Cricetulus griseus: one gene and its partners. The protein of the gene in region 4 interacts with the protein of the main gene of each other region in a pairwise test. Links are inferred from orthologs where the notes say so. Each region holds a gene or a part of one and is shown on either strand. Other genes may lie near its edges.

Region 1 (8,064 bases), about 50 Mb from region 4:
AAAGCACTAATCAATTGTGTGCTAATACTACATAGGAGTTCAGTTTGTATGAGGGAAAAGGTATCTTCCTCATCTAGTCTTTGATGACTACATTTGAACTTTGCTTCGATGTATTGTTGTTTTTTTTTAAAAAAAACCCGTCATTAAAATCCATTATATTGCTATTCTAATCTCATTGCCCTGTCCCTTTTAAAATTTGCAGGTGGATATAATCCCTATGTAGAAATAATTGAACAGCCAAGACAGAGGGGAATGCGTTTTAGATACAAATGTGAAGGGCGATCAGCAGGCAGCATTCCTGGGGAGCACAGCACAGACAACAATCGAACATATCCGTCTATCCAGGTAACAGACCTTTCTCCAGTGTCTCATTTTTAGTGGCTCATATTTCACTATGGCAGGTCCATTAAAGGCTCAGATTATTTTTTGGTTTTGTTTTGTTTTGAGACAGGGTTTCTCTATGTGGTCCTGGCTGTCCTAGAACTCACTCTGTAGACTAGACCAGCCTCAAATTCAAGAGATTCACTTGCTGGGATTAAAGGGGTGCATCACCACTGCCTAATGGAAGGCTCAGTTTCTTAACAGTTACCTCCACAGTCTTTTGCCCCCACCCCCCTGTTTTTTTTTTCTTTTAACTTACTTTGTATAACTAGATGTGTAGGGAGATCCTAAAAATGTGGAATCTTTCCTGCTATAGTTCATGTATTAATGTAATTGCAGTGATTCATGGTGCTTATTGTACACTGAGAGTCTTGGATCTGATTCCTTTTGTAAACAAAGCTAATAGTAAGGAAAAAGCATTCTCTATGTAGTGTAAGGGGGAATTGTTTTATATGTTAAACATGGATTTGGAAACTCTAATTTTTTTCTGCAATCTTTTAGTCTCAGGGCTATTAATAAGAAAAACTTTCCCCCTCCCTTTTCCTTACCTTTATTGCATATCTCCAATTGTCATCTAAATTATCATTTTTTTCTCTGTGTTTAAGGTGTGTGTGTGTGTGTGTGTGTGTGTGTGTAAGGGGTATGTGTATGTGTCTAAGGTGTGTGTGTGTGAATGCAGGCACTCTTGTGCCTCAGTGCACCTGTGGATGTCAGGACAGTGAGATTGAGGCCAAGACTGGTCTACAAAGTGAGTTCCAAGACAGCCAGTACTGTTACACAGAGAAACCCTATCTCAAAACAAAACAAAACAAAAAACCGAAAACAACAACAAAAACTAGTCTGGGGCAGCATTACCCACTGAAATCCCATCTAATTGGAGGCTGGGGTAGGAGGATTACTTGGGTCCAGAAACCAGTGTGAATAAATCATCCCAAAATGGAGTTTGAAAAGTGGTTCTTAATCTTTCATCATTAGATCTGAAATAACTGCTTTGTAACTAGCTTATTTATACTTTATTTTATTGAACCTAAGAAGAATCCAAAGTTAAAACTTAAGTCAATTACTAAGTTATACATTGATTTCCAAATTTCTCTTTTTGTTTTAACTTATATATAGATACTGAAATACATGTTAATGGGATGTCATGTAATGTTTGATACAGGTATACGTCATGTAATTCTTAAATCAGGTTAAACATACTTAACTCTCAAACATTTATCATTACTGTGGAAACATTCAAAGTCCTTCTAGAAGTTTGAGATATACAGTATATTTGTACATAGTCACCATATTGTATAATTGTGTGCCTAGAGCTTTTTGTCCATCTGCTGTGCAAATTGAATTTTTAAAAAAAGATTTTATTTTTATACATGTATGTGTATGTATCTGTGAAAATGCATATTTGGGGGTGGGAACCCACATAGGCAAGAAGAGGCTATTGGATTCCTTGAAGCTGAAGTTATAGGCAGTTGTGAACTGCCTGATATGGATGCTGGGATCTGAACACTGGTCCTGTGGAAGATCATGAAGAGCTCTTCATTGCTGAACTATCACTCCAGTCCCATAACTTCATGCTTTTAAGTCACATTTTTTTCAACAGTATGGATTAGGATTTTCTAAGCTCTTTTAAGTATTCAAATGGAAAAGATGCATTGAAAAGTTAATTTAAAAATTCTATTTTTCCAATCTTATGAGTCATTTTAGCTCCTCCTTAAGAAAATTGTTCCTAAATTTATTTATAAATTCATGCAAACATTCTAGGCCAATGTGTCTTGATCCTCATTCCCTTGCTCCCCTTCATTCTAGTTAATCTGGAAGTAGTGCAGACATTTCCAAGCTCTTTTTTGTTGTTGGCATGATGTACAATCAGAATCGCAATCAGTCCCGCCCCGCAGACTGTTCTTCAGATATATACATCTACATATATATATATATATATATATATATGTGTGTGTGTGTGTGTGTGTGTGTGTGTGTGTGTACATATACATATATCTATATATATGTATATGTAGATGTATATATATGTTTGGGTTTTTTTGTCTTGTTTTTTTCAAGACAGGGTTCCTCTGTGGATTTGGAGGCTGTGCTGGAACTCCCTCTAGGCTGGCCTCGAACTCACAGAGATTCGCCTGCTTCTGCCTCCCGAGTGCTGGGATTAAAGGCATGCACCACCAACACCCGGCTATATATTGGTTTTTGAGACAGGGTTTCTCTGTGGCTTTGGAGGCTGTCCTGGAACTAGCTCTTGTCGACCGCCCGGCTTTTCAGATATTTTTGATGAGATATTTCAAATATCTTTTGGAAGAAGGTATCTTGGAGGAGACAGTGATCTTGCTGTTGCTCCCTTTGAAGGTCACAACACTCCACCAAGATTCTCAGCTTTTCCTCTTACCTTCTATCTCTCCGAGGAACTGCTGGAAACTAGTAGCATCCACAATTCTGTTTTCTATAGGGGGTGTGCAGTCAAGTATGAATTTCAAAATCTGCTTTTTCACCACAAGGTTTTTTCCATTGGCTATGTGTCCTCAGAGGACTGTTTTTGTTGTTGTTGTTTGTTTTTAATTTTTGAACATTTTTAGACACTCTCCCCATCCTCCGTGTGTGTGTGTGTGTGTGTGTGTGTGTGTGTGTGTGTGTGTGTGTGTGTGTACAAGTAGAGAGTTGCAGGGCAGTTCTCTCTGGGTACTATGTGATATCCAGAGATTGCACGATTGCACTTCTTGGTGGCGGTACCATCGCAGCAGCCCCTAATTCTTCTTAAATCATATTAATTTATACATCAAAATTATATGTATGATTTGTATCTTTTCTACTCCAACCCGTCCTAGACACTACAGATTAAATTCTTTCTCTATCAGCCTATTTTGTAGTTTTTACCTCTCTTTCATCTAGAAAGGCAGTAAATATTTCTTGATTACTATTCATTTTAAAAAAGAGGAAAGTAGCAGTGGGTGGATATAGTATACATTGTATAAATAAACATATAAAACTTTCAAAGAATAAAATATAAAACATCCAGGCGCAGTGGTACATGTCTTTAATCTCAGAATTTAGGAGGCAGAGGTAGGTGGGTCATATTTGTTTGCTATTATTTCCAGTGTGGCTTAAATAAGTTTTTTTCAAGGCATACTTATGGTATGACAGTGTAAGAGAAAAGCACTGAAAAACCTAACCTCTAAGTATTTCCTTGTGCTCTGTGGTTAAAATAAAATGTATCAGTTTTCCAAGCAGTGTTAGCACATACATTTAATCCCAGAACTCAGGAGGCAGAGGCAGGTAGGTAGATCTCAGAGTTTGAGAAACCTTGTTTGAAAAAAATAAATAAAAAAGGTATCAACTTAACTTTATTTATTTAGGATTTTTGAGACAGGATCTCATATAGTTCAAGTGGACCTCAAACTCACCATGCAGCTGAGGAGGACCCTGAACTTCTGAAAATTCCTGATTCTATTCTTGAGTATGGTTAATGTGGTACTGGGACCAGGGCCTTATACATACTAGGCAAGCATTCTGCCCACTGAGCTACATCCTCAACCAGTTTTGTGTTTGGTTTTTTGAGACAGGGTTTCTTTGTGTAGCCCTGGCTGTCCTGGAACTTGCTCTGTAGACCAGGCTGGCCTCAAACTCACAAAAGATCCATCTGCCTCTGCCTCCTGAGTTCTGGGATTAAAGGTGTGTGTCACAATGCCAGTGTGCTTACTTGTTTCAAAAGGAAAATAAATAACCAGATGATAAAGTTAGATGAAATTAGGGGAAAAAAAGAAACATTTGAGGAATTGAGAGATACGTTTTTTCGGGCTGGTATTCTCTGGAAACTTTAATCTCAAGTAAGTGGTTGAATATTTGAATTTAGTCAATGCTGACTTCATTATAAAAACTGAACTTGAATTTAGTAGATAAGTTCTTTATATTTGTTTGCTTTTAAAACAGGGTATTATTGTATGTAGCCTTAGTTGGCATTAAATTTGTGCCAGTCCTGCTTCAGCCTTCCAAATGCTGGGACTACAGGTATATGCCACAGTACCCATCTAGTAGATCTGTTCTTAACAAGATGTATTTATGGATTGTACAATTAATTTCCCCTTTCAGGTTATGAACTATTATGGGAAAGGAAAAGTGAGAATTACATTAGTAACAAAAAATGACCCATATAAGCCTCATCCTCATGACTTAGTTGGAAAAGACTGCAGAGATGGCTACTATGAAGCAGAATTTGGACCAGAACGCAGACCTCTGTTGTAAGTATACAGTCACAGAAATCTTTGGCAACAGGACAAGGATATAATTTTAGTTTTTAGCAAAATTATTTTCATATTTAATAATTTACTATGTATACATTTAAATTTTTAATTTTTTTCATCTGTCAGGGACATGCATGTGCTTTGGGGTGTATGTGGAGGTCTGAGTTGGTTCTTTCCTCCACCATGTGGACTCTCAGAGTTGAACTTGGGTCACTAGGTGTGATTGTAAGGATTCAGGCATTATGCTGACCTGCCCCTGTCACCTGGCAGAATGCACTCGGGCAGTACTCTGGTCAGCCCAGGGTCCCATAGTTGTGTAGTCTGCACCAAGGTGCAAAGGACCCCTTGAAAAGAAAGACCCCTGCCAACTTATGCTTTCTTTCTGGCTCCTCTCTTTCCCTCTCTCCCATTCTTTCTCTCTGTTCCCTTGGGGCAGACAGGACTTTCCCTATCTCCCTCTCCTCTTCTGTCCTCTCTGTCTCTGTGTCTCTTTACCTCTTTTATCTTTCCTCCCCTCTCCCTCCCCTTTCTAATAACATTTCTCACCAAGCTCTGACTGCCTGGCATGTTTGTCCCTCCACCTCGGTCACCCTCGCCTGCCGTGGAATCCTCCAAGGTCCCCCCAGGCAAGGTCCTCCTGGAGCTTTATCATAACAGTGATGGCAGATGCCTTTACCCGCTGAGCCATCTCAGCAACCTGATATTTACCTTTTTGTTTTTTAAACATTGGCATTAGAGCTGTTCTTTCATTTTTATGAACAGCACCACATATGATAGGTGGCAGAAGTACTTCCTTGAGAATTGGAAATTTAGACAGCTCATGTAGCCTAAGCTGGATTCAAACTTGCTATGTAGAATGAGTTTGAATTTATCTTCCTGCCTCCATCTCCCAAATCCTGAGATGGTAACACTACCATGTCTGGTTCAGCAGTACATGTTTTTTTTTTTTTTAATTATGCTCTTATTTTTTCTTAAGACAGGGTTTATATAGGCAGGTGGCCTTCCAGAGGATCCAGCTAATGACAGCAGAGGTGTGAAGTTATGTTCATAAGGCACTACCTTAGTTTATGCAGACAGAACTCAAGACAGATTGCTGCCATGTTAGGCCAGCAATCTGACAACTGAGCTACAGGTCTACCACTTCTTATCTTCTAAGTTTGGGCTGTTTTTAGACAGAATTTCACTGTGTTGCTCAGCCTAGCTTCCAATGTGTAGTGTCCTCCTGACTCAGCCTCCAAAGTGCTAGGATTATAAGTAAACATGCATTGCCTTATGAGGATAGATGTACTTCTTTATAATTATTGAAAGTAAATAAAACATATTTTATGTTGTGATTTATCTCTTCATCTGTGAAAAAAACTTGAGGCCATCTTGGAGTACACAGCAAGATATTGTCTCAAAAAAGTTCCTCTTATTAATAGTAATAACACAAAACACAAAAGCACTACTAATGCACATTTGACAAGAAGAACTACTGCCCACATTTTTTGAACTTCCACCAGTGTTTTAAACTTTCAACCACTTGTGTATTGAAATGCTCTTCTTGATTTCTGTGAAGACAAACTTGTTTTAATTCATAGTTTTCTGGCTGTTTTTCCAGATGGCCCCTGTGTTTTCATCTCTGTCACTCTAGTGCCTCTAATCTGTTTGTTTGTTTGTTTGTTTTTGTTTTGGTTTTTTTTGGTATTTCAAGACAGGGTTTCTCTGTGTAGTCCTGGCTGCCCTTGAACTCAGAGATCCACCTGCTTCTGCCTCTTGAGTGCTGGGACTAACGGGCATGTATCTCTAACCTTACTGTTGCAGTCAGAAGAGTATTCTTTAGTTTGCTCTGCTCACAATGCTTTTTCATAGGGCCATTTCATGTTCTGTTCCTTTTATCTTCCTAATCCAGTTCATATTATCACTTCCCACAGGAAGTCTGCCTGCCCACCTTGAATTGATCCCATTATATTCTCCTTCCTATAAAGTATATTTACCTTCATAAAAGTTGTTATGATTCAGTTGAGTGTTTTTGCCTGTGATTATCTGGTAGTTCACCAGACTTGAGCTAGCAAGTTTTCCTGTAAATGGCTAGTAGTATCACAGGCTTTACAAGCCTTTTGGATTCTGTGTCCTACTCAACACTGCTGTTGCTGCAGGAAAGTGGCCACAAATGATACATGAGTGTATGGACATGTTTGTGTTTTAATACAAACTTTATTTGCAAGAAGAGCAATATGCTGAATTTGGCCCATGAATTAGAGTTTGCCAATTCCCCATTCCAGACACTGAGGTTCCATGAAGGGAGAAATTGTACATCTCCATTCCTTTCTAGAATTTTAATGCACAGCTGGAATTCCAAAGTGTATTGAATGACTGCGAAGGAATAAATGGGAGGATGAACCAAATACCCTAATGATTCTTGGTTTCCTTAAGTCAGATTTATTTTACTCATTCCCTTCTTTTCTCTTTCTTCTAGTTTTGGGTGTCATGAATGCTGAACAAGTACTATATTATTGAGTTAATAATGTCCTAGCTCTTGGAATTTTGAAGCTCCCCATTAGTTTTAATATCCTATGCATAGCAGATAGGACTATTCAGATAAAACAAAGCTAAGTAGTGTATATAAGGTTGAAGAAGTCTTTAAAACATTTTATTAGAAAAAAACTAAAAAGCACTAAGAATCTTTCAAAGAAAGAATTATTTTGTTAAAGGATTTCAAGAAAGGATTAAGAATTCATAACTTATTTATTTTGTTATTGGAGGTGGAGGAAGGAAATGGCAAAGTTATTTTAGGTGCTAATAAAGTCACAGGTGTGAGTGTCAAGCATGAAGCATGAACATTAAGGCAGCATGAATGTGGAGTAAGGTGACCCAGGCAGCCTCTGGCTGCAAGTGCCAAATGAAATGTGAAGAAATAGTGATGTTCTTATCATTGAGTTTTGCTTCCTTATTCACACCCACCCATCTCGAATGATGTCATGGTTTTTCCATGTGGGAACAAGTATGACTGGGTGGTGGTAGGGGAGTTCCCCCCACCATCATCTTTATTACACATATGCAAATGAATAATATTTGTAGTTATTGAGAAGTTTTCCATAAATGACCTTTTGAAACTGTTGCTAAATATTGTTAGTATTAAACCTTTCTAATAAAAAACACTTCACTCCTTTTATTGTAATCCTATAACATGGCATACAGTGCATTTTATAATCTTTGAAAAAACTCGAGACCAGCCTACATAGCAAGACACTGTACAGATGCTCACTGTGATTTGATGTATTTGACGATAACACTTTTCAGTGATGAGCTAGGGAGGCAGCATAAACGAATAGAGGAATCAAGTATAAGTGGAGAAACTGTACATAAATGGGGCCACAGTTGTCTCTGTGCCCATGTTCATGAAGCCAGGAATACTGATGTTTGTCTCTTATTACTTGAGTTTTAAGTTCCATAAGTT
Region 2 (7,177 bases), on a different chromosome or scaffold from region 4:
TGACTTAAGATTCCATCCCATTCTCCAACTGCACATCTTCTGTAGTGAACAGTTTTAAAGAAGGTATTCCAAGCCAGCAAATCAGCACTTCAAAGTATCCACTCTGTTCAACGTTTCACATGTAGAGAGCAGTATGTATACACACTATGTGGCAGAAGTTGATGTTTGTGGGCATGCTAAATCTCACTTGGACCTGACTCTGCTGCTTCCTAGCTGCACACCTTAGGTAGATAAATCATTGATCCTCTTTCTGCTTCAGTTTATTTGCAACTCAAGGGCAACTACATACACTTCATAAAGCCCTAATATGCATTAAGTTACTGAGCAGAAAACTTCAGAGACAAACACTGCTGTCAGTGTTTCAAATGCACGTGTATTATCCTAAGCATTTATACATCACTATTTGTTGAAGCACCTGGGTCCCTGGTTGGCTGTACTATCTTCCTTGAAAAAAAAAAAAAATAAAGAATAAAGAATTGGGGCATTATTCATTAGTTAGGACACATCTACTAAAGGTCTTTGGCCATGGAAGCCCAATGATAGACCAGGAATGAGTATGTATGGATGTGTATGTAACTGAACAATCTTAGTATTCCAGGGCAATGTGCAGAAGCAGCTAAGATACAAATTCCTGAGCCTTATTTTCTCATCGTCATCTTCTATAGCACATGGTGACATCACCCACAAGCTTGGGCTGGTTATTTTGTGTTGAGAAGCGTGTTTTGAGCGCTCCAATCTCTTCCATTCAGGGCTGCATTACTTCAGAGACAAAAATAAAAACAAAAACAAACAACAACAACAACAAAAAAAACAAAAACAAAGCCGAGCATTGGTGGTGCATGCCTTTAATCCCAACACTCGGGAGGCAGAGGCAGGAGGATCTCTGTAAATTCGAGGCCAGCCTGGTCTCTAGAGCGAGTGCCAAGATAGGCTCCAAAGCTACACAGAGAAACTCTGTCTCAGAAAAAAAAACAAAAACAAAAAAAACAAAACCCAACCAACAAAAAACATACTCAGATGGGCATATGGCTTCTGTCTGTAATCCTAGCACCCAAAGGACCAAGGCAGGAAGATCATACCAAGTAAGGACAGTGTGGATTCAAAGAGATCCTGTCTCAAAAATAAAAATAAAAATCCACAACAATTGTAATAATCAGATAAACACATTCAGGCCTGGAAACAACATTCTCCCAATGAAATTACAGGACCATACAATACAAGGGCTATGCCATGGATTTGCACATTGTCTTCTCATCATTAGAAACAGGCAGGGCACTGAAAAACTATTATATAAACTACTTGGAAGCTACCATGTGGGAGGGGATTATAGACCCATATTGGAATATCAATAGCCCCTACCACCACTTTTCACCCAAGACCCAAAAAAGAACAGCAATGTAAACATACATAGTCACTTTATTTTTAAAACAGTAGTGTCAGTACACAGCCCAAGAATGAAGTTGTGTGAGGGAAATTTTGAATGCTTGTGAGAAAACTCCAACAAGACAAGAGTCTTATGTCCTGTTTCTTCAAAAACATGGATTTATTCTTGGAATGTGTTTTCATGCTCCTCCCAGGTGTAGCAGATAGTTTAGATTATTCATTACAACTGGATATTACTGCTTGTTTATGACTGTGGAAAAATGGTTTTGCAACATGCAGTTTACTCAGTGAATCTTCTCAACCCTCAGAGTATAAATTGTTTGATGCTCTGAATAAAGAAAGCTATTGCATGATACTTCAGTCCACCTCATTGTGAGGCTCCATCCTCCCAGCTCCAAGCCCCAGTTAGATTGGAAACCAAAGGGGAGCAGGACTAAGAACTACAGCAGGGCTTGTTCAAAGTGGCCTTAGCTTCCGACTCCAAAGACTGTGGGTGGAGTTGCCTCAAATGGCACACATAAAAAAACACATTGCATCCCCATCCCACAGGGATGCAATGAAGCCCTAGAGTACTGATTCAACCCTTCCAGAAATTGAGTTTGATGACTACCAGTTCACAAACACTCCAAGGATATTCTTAGATGATAAACACAGGCCTAGCACCAAGACAGACCTTCCAACAAAGCTTTTGGAAAGTGACTGAGGAAGAGACGCTGGTTAAAACATTGCCACTACACAGATGGGGTAATTTCTCACCATTAGTATAAAATAACTGTAACCAAAACATAAATTATATTAACAGGGTTAGTAAAATAACTGGCAATCAGAGTAGAGTTACTGTTCCATGGGGGAAAAAAAAAAAAAAGGTAGGAGAAAGGGAGCCGTTTCAAAATCTGTGGTTCCATCCTGGGTTCTCAGATGGGAGACATGGTCCAAAAATAGTGGGTCTTACGTTTGTTCTATACTGTTACGATAAAACACTGACCAAAAGCATCTTGGGTAGAAAGAGTTTATTTGGCTTGCACTTCTACATTACAGTCCATCACTGAATGTCAAGGCAGGAAGGAGCTCAGGGCTAGAACCTGGAGGTAGGAACAAAGAGAACCAGAGACCACAGCTTATTGGATTGCTTTTTAAAAAACAGCCTAGAACCACCTGACTAGGGGCAGCACTGCTCAATGAGCTTGTCCTCCCGCATACCAATCATTAATCAAGAAAATGTCCCATTAGATTTGTCTACAGGCCAGTCTGATAGGGACACTTTCTCAGTTGAAGTTCCTTCTTCCCAGATGATTTTAGCTGGATTCTGTTGGCAGCTGTACTCATGCGCATGTACATGTACACATACCCACACAAATAGTAATAAAAATTACTTTAAAGTTCTAGTCTTTAAAAAATTCAAACACTTTAAAACTTCAAATTCTCTTTAAAATGTCCAAAATGTCATTAAGTGGATTCCTGTAAAATCAAAATATAAGTTACATACTTTCTTATTCCAGGAGAATAGAACCAGGGCACAGTTACAAACAAATCAAAGCAAAACCAAACTTGAATAGTTAAGTAACTGAATGCCCAGCATTTGGGACTCATGATCTTTTGGGCTCCAAAGCTTACATAGCTTCACCTCTCCAGCTCTGCCATATGCAGCACAGACTTGTTTGGTAGGCTTACACCAGCTCCGCTCCACATCTGCTGTTATACCTGGTGACCATCCTACAGTCCTGTCATCTCCAATATGCCGGAATCTCCACTGCAACTGGCTGCACCTTCTCCAATAGCTTCTCTTGGGCTCTCTTCAGGGACTCTGATCCCACTACAGGATGCCAAACCTCAGCTTCTCTCCAGGACCCCTTTAATCTTGTTGTTCATGCAGTCAAACCAGTACCACATGGGAGATCCTGACACATTACCAAGTTTTGCTACTAGCTTGAGATGCAGGATTGGCCTCCTCTGGAAGACAGGTTCTGTGAGCCGACCCTAAGGAAATACTTCCCAGAAGATTTCACCTCAATCAGCTGATCTTCAGTGCCAGCTAGCCAGCATCCACTGTCCCAGTAAAGCAAAGGTTTCACTTCGGTCATACTGGTCTCTTTTGTTATTCACAGTCAATTTTTCAGCCCCAGCTGTCCAGAAATCACACATTCGTAATTCAAATATATTTTTACAACGACCCCAATACTCTTTGCTTCCCAATGAATCTTCATAAGTCTGGTCTCTATCATCTGTATTCCTCTCAACACTCTTAAAAACTCATTATACTTTTTATATTCAATGACTTTTTCAAACCAAAGTTCTAAACACTTCCATAATCCTTCTTAAAACAAGGCCAGGTCTATTACAGCAATAGCTCACAATCCTGGTACCAATTTCTGTCTTAGCTTCTCTGTTGCTGTGATAAACACTGATCAAAAGCACCTTGGGGAGAAAATGGTTTATTTGGCTTCTACATCACAGTTCATCATTGAGAAAAGCCAGGACAGGAACCTCAAAAGTGGTTCTCCAAATCCTATCCATATTCTTTATCTACTTTAGTCATGTGTAAAAAACCAAGAAAAGTGTGAAACACAGGAGGAGGAATCTGTTTTTTATTTCTGGGAAATAGCAATACTTCTCATTACATCTCACAATCTGCAAGGGAAGGGAAAGTGTAGTAGAGACCATGAACATCTTGTCTCTCACTGTAAGGGCATGGAAAACGGTAAGGGTATCCAGCTTTGATGGACAGAAATCGACAAGACAACAAGATCCCTTGACCTGGGGTAGGATTATAGCCAACAGCACTTGTGGTCTAAGTTCACTTCCTTAAGGGGAGGTCTCCATGGAATGACCGTGATTCCCAACATGGCCAGAAAACCCATCAATCCCACTCATAGGGCAGATTATCAAAGGAGCTGCACTCTTCCCTCCCGAGTAACTTAGGCTGAAGTAGGGCCGGACTGGCCCACAGAAGGTAGCGTGAGAGAAAGTAAAGGTATGACATCTCTCTGTCACATTGTAGAAGGAGACCTCACCAGCATCATAGTCCAAGAAAATCCCTACCCGCTGAAGAGGGGTCCGAAGGGGGAGGGCAGTCATTGGGGAGGTAAGAGCCCAATATTCTTTCCCATACCACAACGACACTGCCCAGAATCCATTCTGGGGTGCTGAGGTCACCCCACCTTTTCTGCACACTGAGTCTTCACAGACACCTATGGTCCACTTGGCTTTATCTCCCACCTCTACCTCCCAGTAATGTCTCCCAGCGATGAAACACGGAGAGCCCAAGACACAGGGGAACAGATTGAACCGTTCAGGGTTGTCTGGCAGGTCCTGCTGGAGGTAACTGTACCGTACTTGGCGAAGATTATCAGAAAGGATCAGGCTGGGGTAGGCTGTGTCTGGGTCCAAGGTCACATCAACTGTAGAAACAAAGAAGTGAGGGTCAGCTGAAAATGAGAGGAGCCCGCCCACTCAAGACCACCTGACATTCCGCCTACTTCCCTGAACACAGCTTAAGACGAAGCTGACAACTACTAATATAGCGGTGGCCGTGTACACTCAGCACAACAGACATCCTGGGAAACACAACACACGGAGGCTCCTGGCCACATAAATGCAGGAGTTGCTCTTTTAATTAACTTGATGAAAAACCAATGAAACTTTGTCTTACAGATATTATGGAGTTCAGAATTCTTGTTAATTCTTTCATTTCTTCTCAGATTCTGTCCCACACATCCATACCCTATTCATGTTTTCTCCTTCCCTTTTCTGAGAGAATCTATACAGATCAGATATTTTAGCTTCAAACAAACTATGAAGCAAAACATGGTCTTAAGCTGCCAATTCCCTTGGCTTCCCAACCACTAGGGTTACAGGCATACCCAACTACATTTGGCCTCTGCCTAGGTTTTTTTTTTTTTTTTTTTGAGACAAGGTCTCTCTACATAGGCCTGGCTGTCCTGGAATTCACTCTGTAGACCACTGGCCTTGCCTTGAACTCAGAGATCCACCTGCTTTCTTCCACTCAAGTGCCAGGATTAAAGATGTGTGTCACCTCACCTGGCTGCCTGGTTTATCTTAAGTAGCTTATTCATTACTCTAGCTTTGAATCTAACATTGTGGATAATTCATGCCATGTCCTTTGGTATTTAGTACTATTGTCTTTACACTCATGTGAATTGTAGCTTCAAATGTACATGTCTCCTTTCATCCTGTTCAGGACAGGGTTCCCATGCACTCTCTCTCCGAAAGGAAAACCCAGTCAGATCAAACCATTCCAATAAAAGGTTCATGATAGGGCAGAAGAGACAGCTTAGAAATTAAGACACATACTGCTCTTCCAGAGAACCTGAGTTTGGATCCCAGTACCTAACCAGGTGGCTCACAAACACTTGCAATTTGAGCTCCAGGGAATCTAACACTGTTTCTGGGCTCCCACTGTTCCCACATGTGCATGGATATAATCTATATACATAACTTAAAAAATAAAAATAAGGCTGGAGAAATAGCTTAGCAGTTAAGCATGCCCAGATTTGATTCATGGTACCCACATGGCATAAAAGTCTGTAAATTAAGTCCCAGGGGATCTAATACCCTCTTCTGATCTGTAGCGGTACAAGGGACACATATGGTACACAGACATGCATGCAGGCAAAACAACCACACAAATTAAACCCTTTAAAAATAAAAACAAATCAAAAGTGAAAAGCCCTTTGACAAAATTCAACATCCCTTCATAATACAAGACCTGAAGAGATGGGGTATGAAAGACGTACCTCAACACAATAAAAGCAATTTACAACAATCCTGTAGCCAACATCACTCTAAATGGAGAGAAACTCAAAAGTACTGCCAGTAAAATCAGAACCAAGACAAGTATGTTGTTCTGGCTGGTTTTACATAAACTTGACACAAGCTATAGAGTCATTTGGGAAGAAGGCCTCTCAACTAAGAAAATGCCTCTATATTATCTTCATATAGGTGCTCAAATTTTCTTAATGGTTGATATGGGAGTGCCCAGACCATGTCACCTCTTGATAGGTGGATGTGGGGTGTTTAAGAAAGCAGACTTAGCTGAGTAGTAGACTGTTTGCCTATCAAGGCCAAAGCCCTAGGTTCAGTCCTCAGCTCTGGAAAAGAAAAAAAGACCAAACAAACAAACAAAAAACCCACAGCAGATTCAACAAGCCGAGGAGTAAGCATGCAGCTTTCCTCCATGGTCTCTGTATCAGTTTCTGCCCTGACTGCCCTACCTGAAAGTGCAGAAAGAAATAAACCCTTTCATAAGTTGTCTTATCCTAGTAACAGAAACCCCAACAAATACGAAAATTGGTACCAGAAGTGGGGAATTGCTATACAAACTGACCGTTTGGGGAGAGCTGTGATTGCATTTGAACTTTATGCTGGAAAAGCCTTTGAGTACTCACAGCTCAGTATAGGCTGTTCTGTTTGAATTTGGAAGCCAAGAGTGTTCAGAGAAATGCAAATGATGGAGGCCTGGCTTGTGAAGTTACAGAAAGAAGCAAAGACTACTGTGGTCTTCTGTGTGGTATTTTTGTGTTAAGAATCAGTAGTGTCTGGTCAGCTGGTGCTGAAGAATAAGCTGGGATTAAACAGAGACTAGCACCAATGAAGGAAAACTTTACGTTGCCAGGACAGACGTTGCCTTTCTCCATACCTACTCAGTTTAGTACTTGAAGTCTTAGCTAGTCCTGGACTAGAACAACCGAAGGAGATCAAGGAGCTACAAACAGGAAAAGAAGAGTTCATCCTATCCTTATTTGAAGATGACATGTTTAATGCATAAAAGACCATC
Region 3 (8,064 bases), on a different chromosome or scaffold from region 4:
GTCATTCCTTCCCTCTTGTTACTCTGAATCTTCTGGTGGGCTGGGAAAAGGTGGATGTTGGAGGAGCACATTTTCTACCCATTTCCCTAACTATTCATCATCTCTCTCTCCTCGTTTCCCTATCACTCCTCTTCCTTTCTTATCTGGCAGGGGTACACTTTACCGAGCATGTTTTTAAGATCTCAGCTGGTTCTGGAGACCCAACATGTGGGCTTCACCTTTCTTCACTTTCACCACAAGTGAAAGTGTGATAGTGATTTTTCACTTTCATAGTGAATAGTATAGTAAATTTCATAGTGATTTTTCACTATGAAAAATCACAGACCCAGAAAAGCCTAAAATACTGCATAAAAAAAAACAACCAACCAAAAACTCCCCTGTGCTTAATTATTACTTTCCAAAGTAGTTTACTGTGTACTCCTTTGATTCTACCTCATGATACCAGGGGAAGTGGGTCATGATAGGCTCAGAGAAGTGACTTTAAAAGGTGTGCAGTGGACAGAGTGGAATGTAGTTACACTGCTCAACTGGTGTGTGTGTGTGGTGTATGTGTGTGTATGTGGGTGGTATATGTGTGTGTGAGTGGTGTATGTCTATGTGTATGTATGTGGTGTATGTGTGTGTGTGTGTGTGTGTGGTGTATGTATGTGTGTGTGGTGTATTTGTGTGTATGTGTGTGTGTGTGGTGTATATGTGTGTGGTGTATGTGTGTGTGTGTGGTGTATATGTGTGTGGGGGCATGTGTATGTGTGTGTGGTGTATGTGTGTGTGTGTGTGTGTGTGGTGTATGTATGTGTGTGTGTGGTTTATGTGTGTATGTGTGTGTGGTGTATCTATGTGTATCTGTGTGGTGTGTGTGTGTGGGTGTATGTGTGTGAGTGGTGTATGTCTATGTGTGTGTATGTGGTGTGTGTGTGTGTGTGTGTGTGTGTGTGTGTGTGTGTGTGGTGTATGTGTGTGTGTGTGTGTATGTGTGTGTGTGTGTGTGTGTGTGGTGTATGTTTGTGTGTGTGTTTGTATGTGCATGAGGCCAGAGCATGGTGAGGGGCATCATAATCTATCACAAGCATTATTGCCTTGACATAGGGTCTCTTGATGATCTAGAAGCTCATCTGTTCATCTAGGCTGATTGGCTGTCTCTGCCTTCCTCCCCTAGAACACTCTCTTACAACACCCACAACCATGCCTACATTTTTTATATGGGGTGTTGGGGATTTGAATTCAGGTCCATTGGACTTATGTACTCTTACCCACTGAGCCATCTCCCTAGCCCTGCTTAATTTCTTATTTCTAGCCATTTTCTCATCACAGTGAAAGCCTGGGATCAGTTTCCTTGTTTCATTTATAGTGAAGCAGGACACACTTTAAAAAGCGTGGGCCATCACAGGAGGAAAAACTAGTTTTGTGTAGGGCTTCATTATCTGGGAGTTGAATTTCTTAGCCAACCAGAAGTCTCACTGAGCTCTTGGCATCAGAATGCACCCCGTTTGCTACTGTTTAAGTCATGTCCCTCTTCCAGAGGCTGAAATGTGTCTCCTGACTGTCTGAACATCACCAAGGGAGGGGAGGGCCAGAGCGGAAGAGCTCATGATGACTAATAGGGAAATGAACAGAGGGTCTGATTGGCGACGGAAAGGGGTGGGGAGGGAGGGAGTAGAGAGCCAGGACACAGTGCTATGGGATATGGGAAGGGTGCACTTTTGACAGGAAATACTACTGAATAACAATAGGACGTGCTCAGATTACAACTGAGCCCACACAGAAGACTCAAGCCAGGAAGCAGGAGGCTGGCTGGCCCCTGGACATATTCTCAAGGATGGCAGCCTCCCCCTCAGCCCTTTAGCTCTCACTGGGCAGCACATAGAGGGAGCAAATGGTACGCTTTATGGGTGCCTCCAATCAGCTTATTGCGTGGAGTTAAATGAATGAAAAAGGGAATACTTAAAAATTCTTCTTCATACACAGCAAGGACACTTATTGGGAAATGGCTTTTCTTCAGTGGCAGCGAAAGTCTTCTCAACCAGATAAATTAGTGCTTTTATGGGCAGTGGACTCAATATCCCAACACACGGAATAATCATCAGAGAGCACAGCACCACATCCAGTAAAGACTCCAGACTGTCAGGATGCAGGAAGGAAATAGCCAGTAGGCAGGATTCATGATCTGTGCAGGAGGCTGCAGCGCAGCAATCCTTCATAACCTACCACAGGCCCAGCAAAAGCCAGAAGCAACCACCATGCCTCATACCAGTTGGAATCCTAGTCCACCAGAGAGGAACTACGGGGTGTGGTTCTGAATGGTGAGGGCTGGGAACCTGGGTTTCTTTATTGGATATGCTCTTCCTTGCAGTGTGTTTGTATATACATTCCCACTCATATTCTCAGCGCCCCCAGTGCCTCCAAGCCACACAGGTGTGCCATGCCAGCCTTTGAAGGTCGGTTCTCAATTGGGCAGGTGAGAGGTGCTGTAGACACCAGGGAGGTTTGTACCTGTGGTGAAGTGCTGCCAGTTCTAGCCACCCAAACCCCAGCCACTGACCATACTCACTAGTGTCCAGAAGAGGTAAATAGTGAAGAGTGCCACAGTGAGTGCAATCAGTCCAACGGCCTCCAGCCGACTACTAAAGTGCAGGTGGTCCACGGCGCCCCGCAGGCACAGCCAGCCTGAGATGGTAGCCAGGGGCGTTATAAACAAGAAGCACACCATGTCTCCAAACAGAGTTCGCTTCTCATGCTGGGGGCCAGGGTTTCTGAGCCACTGCCAGAAAAGAAAAGAAAAAAAAAAAAGACAGAAAAAAAGTAAGGAGAAGTTTGGATGGCAGCAGCGAGGGGTGGGGACACATTGCTCTCAAGTTGCCTTTGCTTCAGGGTCTGGACAAAGGCACTCTTGACCCACCTAAGATGATAAGGAAGCATGGAGGGCTTGTTCTCATGCCTCTGTCCCTCGAATAATAATGACTATGACAGTTTGTAATGTCCTTGCTGAGGATGACCTGCTTTCTGTGAAAAGAGTTCAATGGCTGCTGCTATGAATTGCAATGATCCTATGAGGGCAGAGGAAAGGTTACTCTGCTGTGCTCTGCAGTGAGCGGTCCCCCAGATTTTCACATGTGAGGCCATGGTCCCAGGATGGTGACATAGGTACTGTAGAACTCTGGGAGGTGGTGCCTCAAAGGGAGGCAGCTACAAAGGTTACCAGGGTCATGGCATCCAAGGAGATTATGGGATGTGGGTTTCATTCCTTTGCTTCCTTAGGATGAGACCACTTGCTCTGACCTGGATACGCTGCCTCATCAGAGGACCAAAGCAATATGGCTGCCAACCTTGGCCTTGCACCCTCAGAACTGAGGGCTTGAATAAAACTTTCCTCTTAAGTATTAATTGCTACAGGGATTGCCTCTCAGTGATGGGGAGCTGACTGCTGCAGACGGTAACAGCCAAGGTGTGAGAGCTGTGTACATGCACCCTCGGCTTTCCTGTATCTTGACTTGGGAGAGTGTGTGCAGAGGAGGGTTAGCTCAGCTGGCCCCTGTGTCCTCACTTAGGATCACCTCTGACTCCTTGATAGTGCTTCGAGAGTGTGCGGATAGACCAGGATGAGCATGTCTTGTTGAAGGACTATGAAGAAAATATGGACTGCTGTCGTCCCACTCGATAACTGCTGAAGACCTGGAACTGCTTCCCCAAGCACAGACTACAGAGGATTACAATGCAATTCTGCATTTACATATTGGTGTCAGCATTTTCCAGAAATGGAGTCCAGTGGTTTCTGTAAGATTAGCATGAATGCACAACCTAGTACACTTGTCCCATGTAGTGAAGAGGCCAATTAGGCCTGAGAAGTGGGGTTCTGTAGGACAGGCGGTGGGGTAGGGTGGATTGACATTGTGTACTCTGTCTTCCATCGTGTCCCCACCAACAAACAAGTGCCTGCATTGTCTGTCTGTTGGCACATGCCCAGAACTGCCATTTGATGGCACCAAACAGAAGCCCTGCAGGGTGCTGAGTAGAGATTCCCACCTGGCCAGGGCAGTAATTCCTACAAAACTGTGATGGGCTTACGAGGGAGATGGAATGACTGGAGAGGGAAGGAAGGGAGGGTCATACATGAGGACAGAAACAAAACACAGTGGCTGCACAGAGGGAAGGCAAGCTGGGGCTGGCATGGCAGAAACCTCAAGAATAAACAGAAGGGGCAGGAGGACAAGGCACAGAACAATGCCTGTGGGAGGGGTCCTTCCCTGTGGTTGCCTGGATCCTAGCACACCAGCTTCTAGTGATCACCCCCCGGAATACTGGGTGAGAAGTCAACGTCAGCTCAAAAGTGGGCATGAATTACCATTAGGACACAGATAACAGGGAGTCCGCTTGTTTGTGGATATGGATCCCACATTATGAATATTTAACACAAATACCCAAATGATCAGGTGCAAATACATTAACCCTGCCATGTGCTGTGATGCCACCTCACACAGTTCAGCAGCTTCAAAGAGCTCTCATTAATTAACATTTTTCTTGCCTAAATACTGGCACTACCCCTAAGAAGTAAAGGATATACACAGGTCATTATCATCCCAATTTTACATACTCTGTAAGGTTGAATGATTGAACCATGTGACCCAGAGGCTGCAATGAGGAGATGACCCATCAGGCTCTCTCCATTCTCCATGTCATCTGAATACATGATTAGTAAAATATTTGGAAATTTAAATTGCAAGACATTACTTAGGCTCCTAAAACAACGGTGCCCAAGGTTTAGCGGAGCAGTCCCTTTAGAGCTGGGTTTTCCCAGACAGGAAGTTGGTACACTCACCTCTGCACCCGTGGTTGCAGGAAGACGGTCCTCAGTAAACATGCAACTGTGTGCGGAGACTGGCTCACTTCCTTGGCTACGACTTCCCTTTCTTTTACTGGGAAATTCTGGACATGTTTTATTTATTTAGAGACAGGGTCTATGTATCTCTGGTAGGCCTAGAACTTGCTCTGTAGACCAGGCTGTCCTCAAATTCACAGAGATCCACCTGCCTCTGCTTCCCAAACACCAGGAATAAAGGTGTAAGCCACTACTCCTGGCTGGCCATATTTTACTAACATTAATTTGTTATATTACTATCTATAAGCCTTCTGACAATGCCCTGTGCAACAGATGGTCCAGATATGGAAGAAAACAATTACGAATCAGTGTTTACTTGATAAACATGTTAGATTTCTATTATTTATTTATTTATTTATCTAATCTATCTTTGTGTGTGTGAATGTATATGTGTGCATACAATGGTGCACAGTAGAGGTCAGAGGACAGACATGGGTGTTGGTCCTTTCTTTCTACCTTGTTTGAGACAGGGTCTCTTAGTTTACACTGGTGGGTGCACCAGGCTAGCTAGTACATGAGCTACTGGGATTTTCCTATATCTTGACTCTGTCTTCCTGGAGTATGGTGGGGAAGGGAGGATTACAGATAGATATCACTATGTCTGCCTTTATGGGGTTCTAGGGATCCAAACTCTTGGTCCTTATCTGTACACATGGCAAGTGCTTTTACCATGGAACCATCTCCCCAGCCCTATATTTATCTGGTAAAACAAAGACACAGAGCCTGATCGTGCAGCTCAGTGGAAGAGGGAATGAAAACTCTGGACAAGGCCCTGGGTTCAATCCTCACTGCTTCCCTTCCCCCATAAAAGTGAAAACAAGTGTGTGACAGGCACAGTGGAAACTGCAGCTGCCTAACCCCGTGTCTTGTGTTCTAATTGTTCTCGGATTTTCTGTTCCCTAGTTTAGCCCACTTTGTATGTCTCCAATTGTACTTGTTAGTACTGCTCTTGGGAAGACCTGCTTACTTTGCTGATTATATTTTGATGAGGCGTTCTTAATACTCTTATGCAAAATATGTGTTTTCTTTGAACCCCATGTGTTACTCTGCCTTTCCCTCTCTGAGCAAGAAGAGTGGCAGTAATTTGCTGTTGAGAAAGAACACAAACACCTATACACACCAATATAGAGGTCTCCATTCAAGTAGAGTTTGTAACAGAATATTTGATTAGTTTCAATTTCTAACACTATGAAATGATCTAAATCAATTGTAGAATTTACTTAAAATCGTATTATCATGTGATAATTTATAAACATGGTATACTGCTGAGCAGAAAAACTCTTCTGGACAGAATATATACTCCGAGTCTATGAATGCAGATATATCTACATGGACAAAGAAACTTAGGTTTACTTAGACATGGTATATTGCATGGACATGACTAGAGGGATACTCAACAAAATAGTAGCTATACCTGGCATGAAGTGGTTTTAAGATTTTATGAAACATATTTTGTTTTCCGGAAGTGAGTATGAACCATATAGCTGTATCTACATATCCTTTGTACAGAACATATATACACACAAACACTCATATTTGGAGAGAGTGGGGAAGGGAAGGGGAAGAAGAAGAGATGGAAAGAGAGAGGGGAAGAGACAGATAAAGAAATAGAGAAGGTGAGAGAGGGAGAGAAAGGGGGAGAGAATGAAGAGTAACAGACAGTGGGGTAGGCAGGTGTCTAGCTAGTGCACAGCTCCAAAGCACTAAAACACTATATGGAGTTACAGCTGGGGCAGGCTCAGTGCTAGGAATTTGGTGTTTATTGTGCATCATCTCACAGAGTGCTTACAACAGAGCTATGGAATAGAGCCTACAGTATTCCCCACTTCACAGATACAGATATGGTGGAGCAGAGGACTTCATAACCTAGCTAAGGATAGCCAGCCAATGAGAGTTAGAGGTGGGATTCAGACTAGCCTCTACTTGTTGTTCCTTGATTTCCATATTAACATTTTCATTTTACACCAAATGGTAACTGTGTGTGAGTACATGTGTATGCTAGGTGTTTTTTTCAACTTAGGTGAGACATGGTAAGTCATGCTAATTTTATGGTGTGTAAAGCAGGGTGTAGGGGGATGTAAATCAAGTTGCTGAATGGTTGGCTGCCCAGGATGTGATCATGGTAATTTTACAAAATTTTCTGGGCTGCTGCTTTGATCTATGTTAATTCTTTTATCTAACTAGAATGGGGTCCAATTTCTGGGCATTTAATCTCACATTATCATGCACATTGGCCTAATTCATAACAGGCAAAGGGTTGATCTCAATTACTGTGCTTTGCTTTTCTGGTTCTTTGTATGGCTTCTGCTTCTCTGTCAGTCACACTTACCGTATACCGAGGGAGGTGCAAATTCTGCAGTGGTGCTTCATCTCCAGCAAACCGAAGCAGGGAAGGTACAAGCAGCCTTGTTTTTCCTGCTGGGTGTCATCTACACTAGCAGTGCCTAGGACAGTGCTGGCCGAATACGAGGTACTTAACCTCAACCAATGATAGCAGTTTGTTTCCTGAGCCCTTACTATATATGCCCAGCATTATCTTATATGTGACATGTGATAACTCATACAACAGTTTTTGAAGGAGGTAAGGTGTATGAGAAGGGTCTTGGCTTCTGTCTCGGGTAGTCTAGCTCTAATGAGTGTGTCCATAACCATTCTACTGTATCCTCATCCTTGGCATCCTTAGGTGAGAGAGAACGATCACACTTAATAGTTCTTATCAGTACAAAGAACATGTGCTCATGGCGCTTGTCCCGGTGTGAGACAGCACCATGGTCACCAGTGCTGAATGGTTTAATCTTCCTCCTCAGCTCACACTTGGTGGTTAGTTGCATTTTAAAGACTAAGGTCACTGCCAAGGGTATACTAATCAGTTTGGAATCTTTCATCTGACAGGCATATCCCAGTTGCTGCCAGTAGCATTCTTCTTGTCTTGTTTTTCTCTGGTACAAAAATGAGGCATTCAGGTATGATGACTCATGTTTATAATCCAGCATTTGGGAGGTACCAGTCAGCTGGGGCTACCGAGTGAGATATTGTCTCAAAAAGCCCAAACAGACACATGAACAAACCAACCAACCAACCCATGAAGCAGGCAAAAGCTTTGCTGTTGAAATACCCAGCAGCTAGTGGAGCTGCCTACTTCTCTATGGAAATCCCATTTTAATCACCAACTTGTTGCTGAATCATGATGC
Region 4 (7,841 bases):
AGTGTCCTTAGACCTATCCACAGGGACTGAAAGGCTCTGATTAGGTCATCTTTAAATCTGAATAAATCTCAAAATTCAAGAATCTCTAACACTTAAAAGGGTGGTCATTTCAGCTACCCATCCTAAGAAGTCAAGTACAAGCATGCAAGTAAATTCACAGGCACAGAGGATCCATGTTCAAACGCTTAAGGTAGCTGTGATGCAACAGGACAATGTGAGCAGGAGACACTCAGTGTTAATCCTAGTTATTCAACAGAACCCTGAAGCAAACTCGCTAGTCTTGTTATACTGCTAAACACTAACGTAGCATGTTTTCTCCATGGTTTTAGCTTAGCTCAAAGAATTTTTACACTATTAAGAAAAAATTAAAGTATTTCCCCTTTTTAAATTTACACAGACGTTTAATTAGCTTTATTTACAGAGCAGGGAATTATTTTTTTTTTTGCAGTCTCCAATGGTGCCTAGATAACATCATTAGGCAAGAATGCCAGTTTAAAAGAAATTTATGCAGAATCCTAAAAATAACAGATGTTGGTGCTCCTCAAGAGGCGAGCGTGGCTGGTGGCAGCTCCCAGGCCTCAGTTACTCAGAAGCAGTTCTGTTGCAGTCTCTACATCCCATGATTTTGAAGACAAGGCCACTATTACTGCATTCTGTAAAGAAGTGGATAAGAACAATCACATCTCAAGGAAGCAGTTACTAAGCTCTGAAAAACCTCACTAAGGTTTGCACAGAGAATCATGCATTCTTTCCTCTACCAGTGCCTGGAATCAACAAAAAGAATCGTTGATTTCAGTAACACAACACTATTAACCAAACAGTTTAAAAAAAAAAAAAAAAAAAACATTGCTAGCCCACCTGTCCCAAGGACTCAGAGCAATTTAGAATGAGGAAGTCAAATCAATTCCTCCTGTACTTACCCTATCAAAGCCCATAGCACACAGGTTTTCTATTTTTTTGGTGTATTCTGGACTAGAAACTGGTGCTCCAGCATACACATGTGCCCAAAGTCGAGCTGTCTGCTTGAACATTTCAGGATTTTGTTTGTACTACATGGAGGGGGAAAAAACGATTAGCATGACAATGCAGTGACAGTTAACATAGCATCTCAACTAAAGAAAATACATTTATATCTAAGATGGGACTCATTTGGGCAGAGCTATGGGGAACACTGAATGGTATTGTTAACTGAGTCAAAAGTCAGAAGTTCAGTTACCAGCACCTACTATATAATGCGGCAGAGGCAGGCAGATTTCTTTGAGTTCAAGGACAGCATGGTCTATTGAGTTAGTTTCAGAACAGCCAGGGATACACAGAGAAACCATGTCTCAAAAAAAAAAAAAAAAAAAAAGATATGTATTTCAATACTTTGTAACCAAACAAGCAAAGTTATTAGTTATTTTAGATGTTAAAAAGTCAGCTTTGGGGGCTGAAGAGATGGCTCAGAGGTTAAGAGTGCCAACTGCTCTTCCAGAGGTCCTGAGTTCAATTCCCAGCAACCACATGGTGGCTCACAACCATCCGTTATGAGATCTGGTGCCCTCTTCCGGTGTGCACATATACATGGAAGCAGAATATTGTACACATAATAAATAAAATCTTAAAAAAAAAGTCAGCTTTGATGTTACATCTAAATCTGTAGGAAAATCAGTGCTAAATTTCTGAAGACAAGATGTCTGCTACCAAATTATTAATGAATAGCACATATGTGCAAACTGCGAAAAGCCCTAATTCCAAGCACTTTAAGTCCATCAATGGAACTAAGGAAGCACGCATAAAAAAGAATAAGCAGATCTTCAAGCAGAAGGAAGAGAGAAGGGAAGCCTGAAGAGGTGTCTCTTCCCAGCACCAATATTAGGTGGCCAAAATCAAGGATATATTACCTTATTTAGACCTCAACAGGTACTGGCACTCAAATGCTCATACCCAAAGACACACATATATATATAATTTTAAAAATAAGTCCTTTTGTTTTGTTCTTAAAGAACTTAAGGATAAAGAAATTTGGGCCGGGAAGATAGTTCAGCAGCTAAGGACACCGCATAAGCCTGACAAGTTGAATTTGATAACTAAAAGCCTGGCAGTGGTGGCATACACCTTTAATCCCAACACTCAGGAGTCAGAAATAGGTGGATCTGTGACTTTGAGGCCAGCCTGATCTACAAAGCAAGTTCCAGGACAATTTGAGCTACAAAGAGAAACCCTATCTCAAAGGAAAAAAACAAATACAAGAACAGTTTGAAGCCTGAAACTTAGGTAACATGGCTGCTGTGAGGTACCTATGCCCACGCTTAGACATCAAGCAAGTATGTTCGCAAGCACACATACACAGGGACAGTTCTAAAAAATATAAGGATATTCGATAAGAAATGTTTCCCAAAGGAGAAACAAGGAAAACAGTATAAAAATTAAAATGATTACAATCCCAAAAATTCATGAATTCGAATAACATTATGAGTTAAAACATGTTCAATAGCTTAAATCATGGAAAACCTCTGAAATGTAAGTGTTAGGTCATGAGTGAATAACAGTTGATTTGGGTTGTTAGTTTTGAAACAGGGTCTTACTTTTTAACTCTGTCTGGTCTGGAATTTACTTAGTACAGCAGGCTGACCATGAACTCACAGAGGTCCACCTGTGTCTGCCTGCCAATGGCTGGGATTAGAGTACACCTCCACACAGGCAGGATCTGGGGTTCAGAGGTCAAGCACGGTGCTTTGATCATCCAGGGAGTGCATACAATGGAAGGGGAACTACAGTAGGAGCCAATAGCTCTCATTAAAAGTGATTAACAGGCCGGGCACTGGTGGCGCACGCCTTTAGTACCAGCACTCAGGAGGCAGAGGCAGGGAGATCTCTGAGTTCGAGGCCAGCCTGGTCTCCAGAGCGAGTGCCAGGATAGGCTTCAAAGCTACACAGAGAAACCCTGTCTCGAAAAGGAAGGAAAAAAAAAAAAAAAAAGTGAACAACAATGGCCAAAAAGGCAGAGGCAAGTGGATCTTTGTATTTTCAAGAACAGCCAGCCAGGAGGACTGTTACACAGATAAACCATGTCTTAGAGAGACAGAGACAGGGAATCAACTTTAAAAATAGGGAGAGAAGAGGAAAGTATTTCATAAATTGAGAGATGTTTAACAATAAAAATGCTCAGTAAATCAGAATACTTTAAAGTAGAGGTTGGTGAACTAAAACATAGATTTTAACAATTTAAACCTTTCAAACCACAGACAGTGTGACTGGATATCAAAATAAACACATGGTTATGACTCTGTTCCTATAAAATGAGATTGCCCAAACCAGCCAGTGTGAATGTACCTTACCTTACCCTTAGAGGCATTAAAGAAAAGGAAAAAGTTCTCCATTCAACACCCATGAAAACCATTGCAATGCCACTACCATCAGCTCCACTTCTGTGGTGGGAGGTTATTATGATCACCACCAGGAAGAAGCCAGTAAGGTATAGAAAGAGGGTTACAAAAGTGCACAAATGATAAAGTGCATGTGGTAAATGCTAACTGTAGAATCTACACAGGTGCTCACTATGGAATTCAATCATACATAAGGGAAAAGCATCTGTCATGTATCCAATGAAACCATTTCCAAATTTAGTACCAATATAGAATGTTCATATGCTGACATCAAATATTAAAATCCATATACACAGGTCTAAGAAAGTCTTTCAAAAACTTCCTTCTTACCTGATTTGCTACTACTGCATCTTGGGGGTCATCTGGTTCTGCAGCTGCCAACAGTGCTTGCAATGACAATAATACCGTGCGCAGAGTCATTGCTGCTGCCCTAAATTTCAAAATAGGAAAACATACCACTTAAAGGGGGTGCTGAACGACCTAAACAAAGTGTATGTTTTCTGAATTTAAATAAGAGTTAACTAATGTGTGTATAATTGCCATTTTTTTCTTACAATGAGCCTATTTCTTCGATAATTTAAATCACTGTATTCTTATCTGACTTCACTTTTTCTTTTTGTTACTCTTACCTATCTTGTAAGCTTTATCTAATGGTTCCATTTATAATTCATTCTCTTCTTAAACAGAATATTTTAGGTTTTAAGTGTATGAGTGTTTTGTCTCCATGTATGTGTGTGCACCTGAGTGCCTGATGCCCAAGAAGGTCAGAAGAGGGTTCTGGATCCCCTAGAACTCCGAGTTACAGATATCATAAACTGCTGTTTGGGTGCTAGGAACCAAAGCCAAGTCCTCTGCAGGAACGCATGCTCTTACCCACTAAGCAGCCTCTCCAGTCCCTTACCCATATTTCTTAGTAAAGAGATAATTAAAGTTATTAATATTAACATGGGGATTTTGAAAGTTTTATTGTTTTGAATTGTAAGAATATTCATTTATGTGCATATAAGTACAGGTGCCTACAGAAGCCAGAAGCAGCTGATCCCCTCCAGCTGGAACTACACACAATTGTATGTCATCCAACATGGGGATTGGAAATTCAACTTGGGTCCTTCAAAGAGCAGTAATGCCTTTAACCACTGACCCACCTCTCCAGCCACCTCTTTTAATAACACGCTAAATAAAACAAGCAAATAAAGTACCCTTTAGAAGTTCCAAAATAAGTCTGTTATATTCCAAAATAGGACAAATTTTTGTTTAAAGTATCATCACTTGGGGTTGGAGAGATGGTTCACAGTTATGCATGTGTACTGCTTTGGCAGAGAACCTAAGTTTAGGTCCCTACATAAAGGGTTGTGAGTTACACTGAGACGTGTCTCAGACAACAGCAGCAAACACCAAAAAACAGGCTGACCTGCTAAACTAGCATTTAAGACACAGAGTTCTTTTAAAAGCTTTGAAAACACAGCTGGATTGCCGGACATTAGTGGCGCACGCCTTTAGTCCTAGCACTCAGGAGGCAGAGGCCAGCCTGGTCTCCAGAGCCAAGTGCCAGGATAGACTCCAAAGATACACAGAGAAACCCTGTCTCGAAAACAAAACAAAACAAAACAACCACAAAGGTGGGTAGTACTAGCCTTTACTCTAAAGATCACTGTAGGCAGAGGCAGGCAAGAGTTCAAGACCAGCTTGGCCCACAGTTTTAGCACCTCAGCTACACAGATGCTGTCCTAAAACAAAACCTTTAAAAACAGCTACATAGTTCTATATCCTAGCTGACAAAACAAACCATGTTTTCTTTTTCCTCCCCCCACCTAGACCTAGGTGTTCAATTTCCTAAGAGCATCAATGTTAATTTTCCACCAAGAGCTGTAATACTAAATTTTAGCACAGAAGTTGATAAGATGTCTAAGTGGATAAAAACACTCATGACACCAGCCTCAAGACTGAAGTTCATCCCCAGAACTCAGTTGAAAGTTTGATGAGAGACCAGAATCCATACTGATATCCTATGACCTTCACACAGAAACCATACCCATATAATAAGCTCTGAAATAAAGATTAAGTCACATATAACCACACTTAGCTCTTAAATATTTATATCTGTCTTTCCATTACCACAAAAACACGGAAAGAGTGTATCACTCTGATTTTAATTTTTGAGGAATTTCAGTGGCTGGAGAGATGGTTCGGTGATTAAGGGCCTTGCTGCTCATTAGAAGACACAAGTACAGTTCCCAGACTCCATGGCAGCTTCCATCTGTCTTTAATTACAGGTATAGAGGTTTCAACATCTATGGCCTCACACATACATACAACCAAAAGGCCAAATTCATTTAAAAAAAAAAAAAAAAAAAAGAGGCCACTAAGACCTCTCTCCCGTAACTAAATTACTTCTTTTTAAAAATTATGTTTGGGGCTAGAAAAATAGCTCAGCTGTTAAGAGCAGTGACTGCTCTTCCAGAGGACTCAGGTTCAGTTCCCAGCACCCACATGGCAGTCAAGACTGTCACTCCAGTTCAAGGGGATCTGACACCCATGGCAAAACACCAATATACTTAAAATAAAAAAGTATATTTATAAAAAAAAAAACCAAAAAACTGAAGGCAGGCAGATCTCTGTGAGTTTGAAGCCTGGTCTTCAAAGAGAGTTCCAGGACAGTCTCTAAACTTACAGAGAAACCCTGTCTCAAAAAACAACAAAAAAAAAAAGAAGGAAGGAAGGAGGAGGAAGGAGGAAGGAGAAAGGAGAAGAAGAAGAAGAAGAAGAAGAAGAAGAAGAAGAAGAAGAAGAAGAAGAAGAAGAAGAAGAAGAAGGAAGAAGAAGAAGGAGAAGGAGAAGGAAGAAGAAGAAACATTTGAACCAGGAAGGAGTGGTACACACCTTTAATCACAGAAGAAAAAAGAAATGAGCAGAAAATTTGTTTAGTGGGGTGGTGGTGGTGATGGCAATCCATCTTTAATCTCAGCACTCAAAAGGCAGAGACAAGAGGTTCTCTGAGTCCAAGACCACCTGGTCTATAGAGAGAATTCTAGGACTTCTTGGGCTATACACACACACACCAAAAAAAAAAAAAAAAAAAAAAAAAAAAAAAAAAAAAAGAGGGAGGAGGGAGAGACGGAGGGAGGTTGAATAGCAAAAAAAAAATTTAAGAATCTCGCCTTTAATCGAAACACTTGGGAGGCAGAGGCAGGTGGATCTCTGAGTTTGAAGCCAGCCTGGTCTACAGATCGAAGACTATTACAGAGAGAAATCCTGTCTCAAAACAAACAAAAAACAAATAATAAAAATAATAATTCTTGAAACTGCATAAGGTATATAGAATTCAACCACACACTTAAAAATGGTCAGGAAGAAGCAAACTATCCCTTTCCCACAATCCCTCAGGATATTCCTTTCCAATTTGACCAGAATGGTTCTCGAAGAGTGGTGACAAGGGCAATCTGCCACTTAGAAGGTGGTTGCTCAAGAATATAATACCAACATCCATGCACACACTCATGGAGAGGCCTCAAAGATTAATCACCCTGTGCACATAAAAATGAAAGGAGACAGGGACTCCAAAGGTGTTTTCTCAACAGAGTTGTCTGGGCTGAACATGCAATATGCCTAACACCTATGAAGGAGGAAGACTCGATAACCAATCCTGAGAGTTGGTTCATTTGGTGTGGTGGTTTGAATGAAAAAAAAAATGCCTATGTAGTGACATGTATTTAAACACATGATCCCCAGTTGACAGCACTGTTTGGAAAGTTTGTTAGTTTTAGAATGTAGAGCCTTGATGGAGATAGTAGATAGCTTCCCTACTTCCAATTCACTCTCTGTTTGCTGGAATGTTAGTGAAATGTGATAAGCAGCTGCTCTGGCTCCCTGCTGCCATTTGGTCCCTGCCATTATGGACTCTTGCCTTCTGGAACCATAGATAAACACTTTCATTTCTAAGGTGCTCGTGGTCATGGTATTTTATCACATCAACAGAAAAATAACTAATATACTTGTATTCTCATACCAATTTGTAAAACCTAGAATAATCAATGTGGATGAGAATAGTTAATTGTCAAAGTTATAAAATCAAACATGTAGTTAAAATGATATATATCCTCATGTTCATAGAGAGACTCTGTTTCAAAAGGAATAGGTTGACAGTGATACTATGACATCCAAAGCCTATATCTGGCTTCCTGTCTCAAAGAGAAAAGATAGGGGGTTGGTGATAAACAAGTGATTTAAAAAAAAAATGAACAAATTGAATAAATAAGGAAGCCTGAAGACATGAAATTGGGAAAAGACGGCAGGGAATATTCAGGGAGTTAAAAGGGAAAAAATGAGAAGAGATATAATCATATTCCAATGAATACATATACAAAATTCTCAAATTAAAAAGTATCAATATTTTTTAAGTAATACTAGCCAGGTATGATGGTGCACCCTTAAACCCAGACACTTAGGAGGCAAAGGCAGACAAATCTCTGAGTT

Evidence for each region. The genes of interacting proteins can lie anywhere in the genome.
Region 1: the proteins of Ube2k (region 4) and Rel interact in binary tests that used the Homo sapiens proteins (3 or more experiments, as listed by UniProt). The two-hybrid records come from large-scale screens. The link is inferred for Cricetulus griseus from reciprocal best matches to the Homo sapiens genes UBE2K and REL.
Region 2: the proteins of Ube2k (region 4) and Trim27 interact in binary tests that used the Homo sapiens proteins (3 or more experiments, as listed by UniProt). The link is inferred for Cricetulus griseus from reciprocal best matches to the Homo sapiens genes UBE2K and TRIM27.
Region 3: the proteins of Ube2k (region 4) and Marchf3 interact in binary tests that used the Homo sapiens proteins (3 or more experiments, as listed by UniProt). The link is inferred for Cricetulus griseus from reciprocal best matches to the Homo sapiens genes UBE2K and MARCHF3.

What each region holds. Positions count from the first base shown.
Region 1 is NW_023276807.1:83,018,018-83,026,081, forward strand, and holds part of Rel (proto-oncogene c-Rel), read left to right. Parts: intron 1-202; coding exon 203-345; intron 346-4,473; coding exon 4,474-4,622; intron 4,623-8,064. UniProt on the Homo sapiens protein: Proto-oncogene that may play a role in differentiation and lymphopoiesis.
Region 2 is NC_048596.1:243,546,058-243,553,234, reverse strand, and holds the end of Trim27 (zinc finger protein RFP), read right to left. Parts: intron 4,782-7,177; coding exon 4,186-4,781; 3' UTR 2,379-4,185; downstream 1-2,378. UniProt on the Homo sapiens protein: E3 ubiquitin-protein ligase that mediates ubiquitination of various substrates and thereby plays a role in diffent processes including proliferation, innate immunity, apoptosis, immune response or autophagy.
Region 3 is NC_048595.1:182,138,943-182,147,006, reverse strand, and holds part of Marchf3 (E3 ubiquitin-protein ligase MARCHF3), read right to left. Parts: intron 2,759-8,064; coding exon 2,540-2,758; intron 1-2,539. UniProt on the Homo sapiens protein: E3 ubiquitin-protein ligase which may be involved in endosomal trafficking. E3 ubiquitin ligases accept ubiquitin from an E2 ubiquitin-conjugating enzyme in the form of a thioester and then directly transfer the ubiquitin to targeted substrates.
Region 4 is NW_023276807.1:132,625,782-132,633,622, reverse strand, and holds part of Ube2k (ubiquitin-conjugating enzyme E2 K), read right to left. Parts: intron 3,799-7,841; coding exon 3,699-3,798; intron 1,050-3,698; coding exon 921-1,049; intron 654-920; coding exon 579-653; 3' UTR 1-578. UniProt on the Homo sapiens protein: Accepts ubiquitin from the E1 complex and catalyzes its covalent attachment to other proteins. In vitro, in the presence or in the absence of BRCA1-BARD1 E3 ubiquitin-protein ligase complex, catalyzes the synthesis of 'Lys-48'-linked polyubiquitin chains.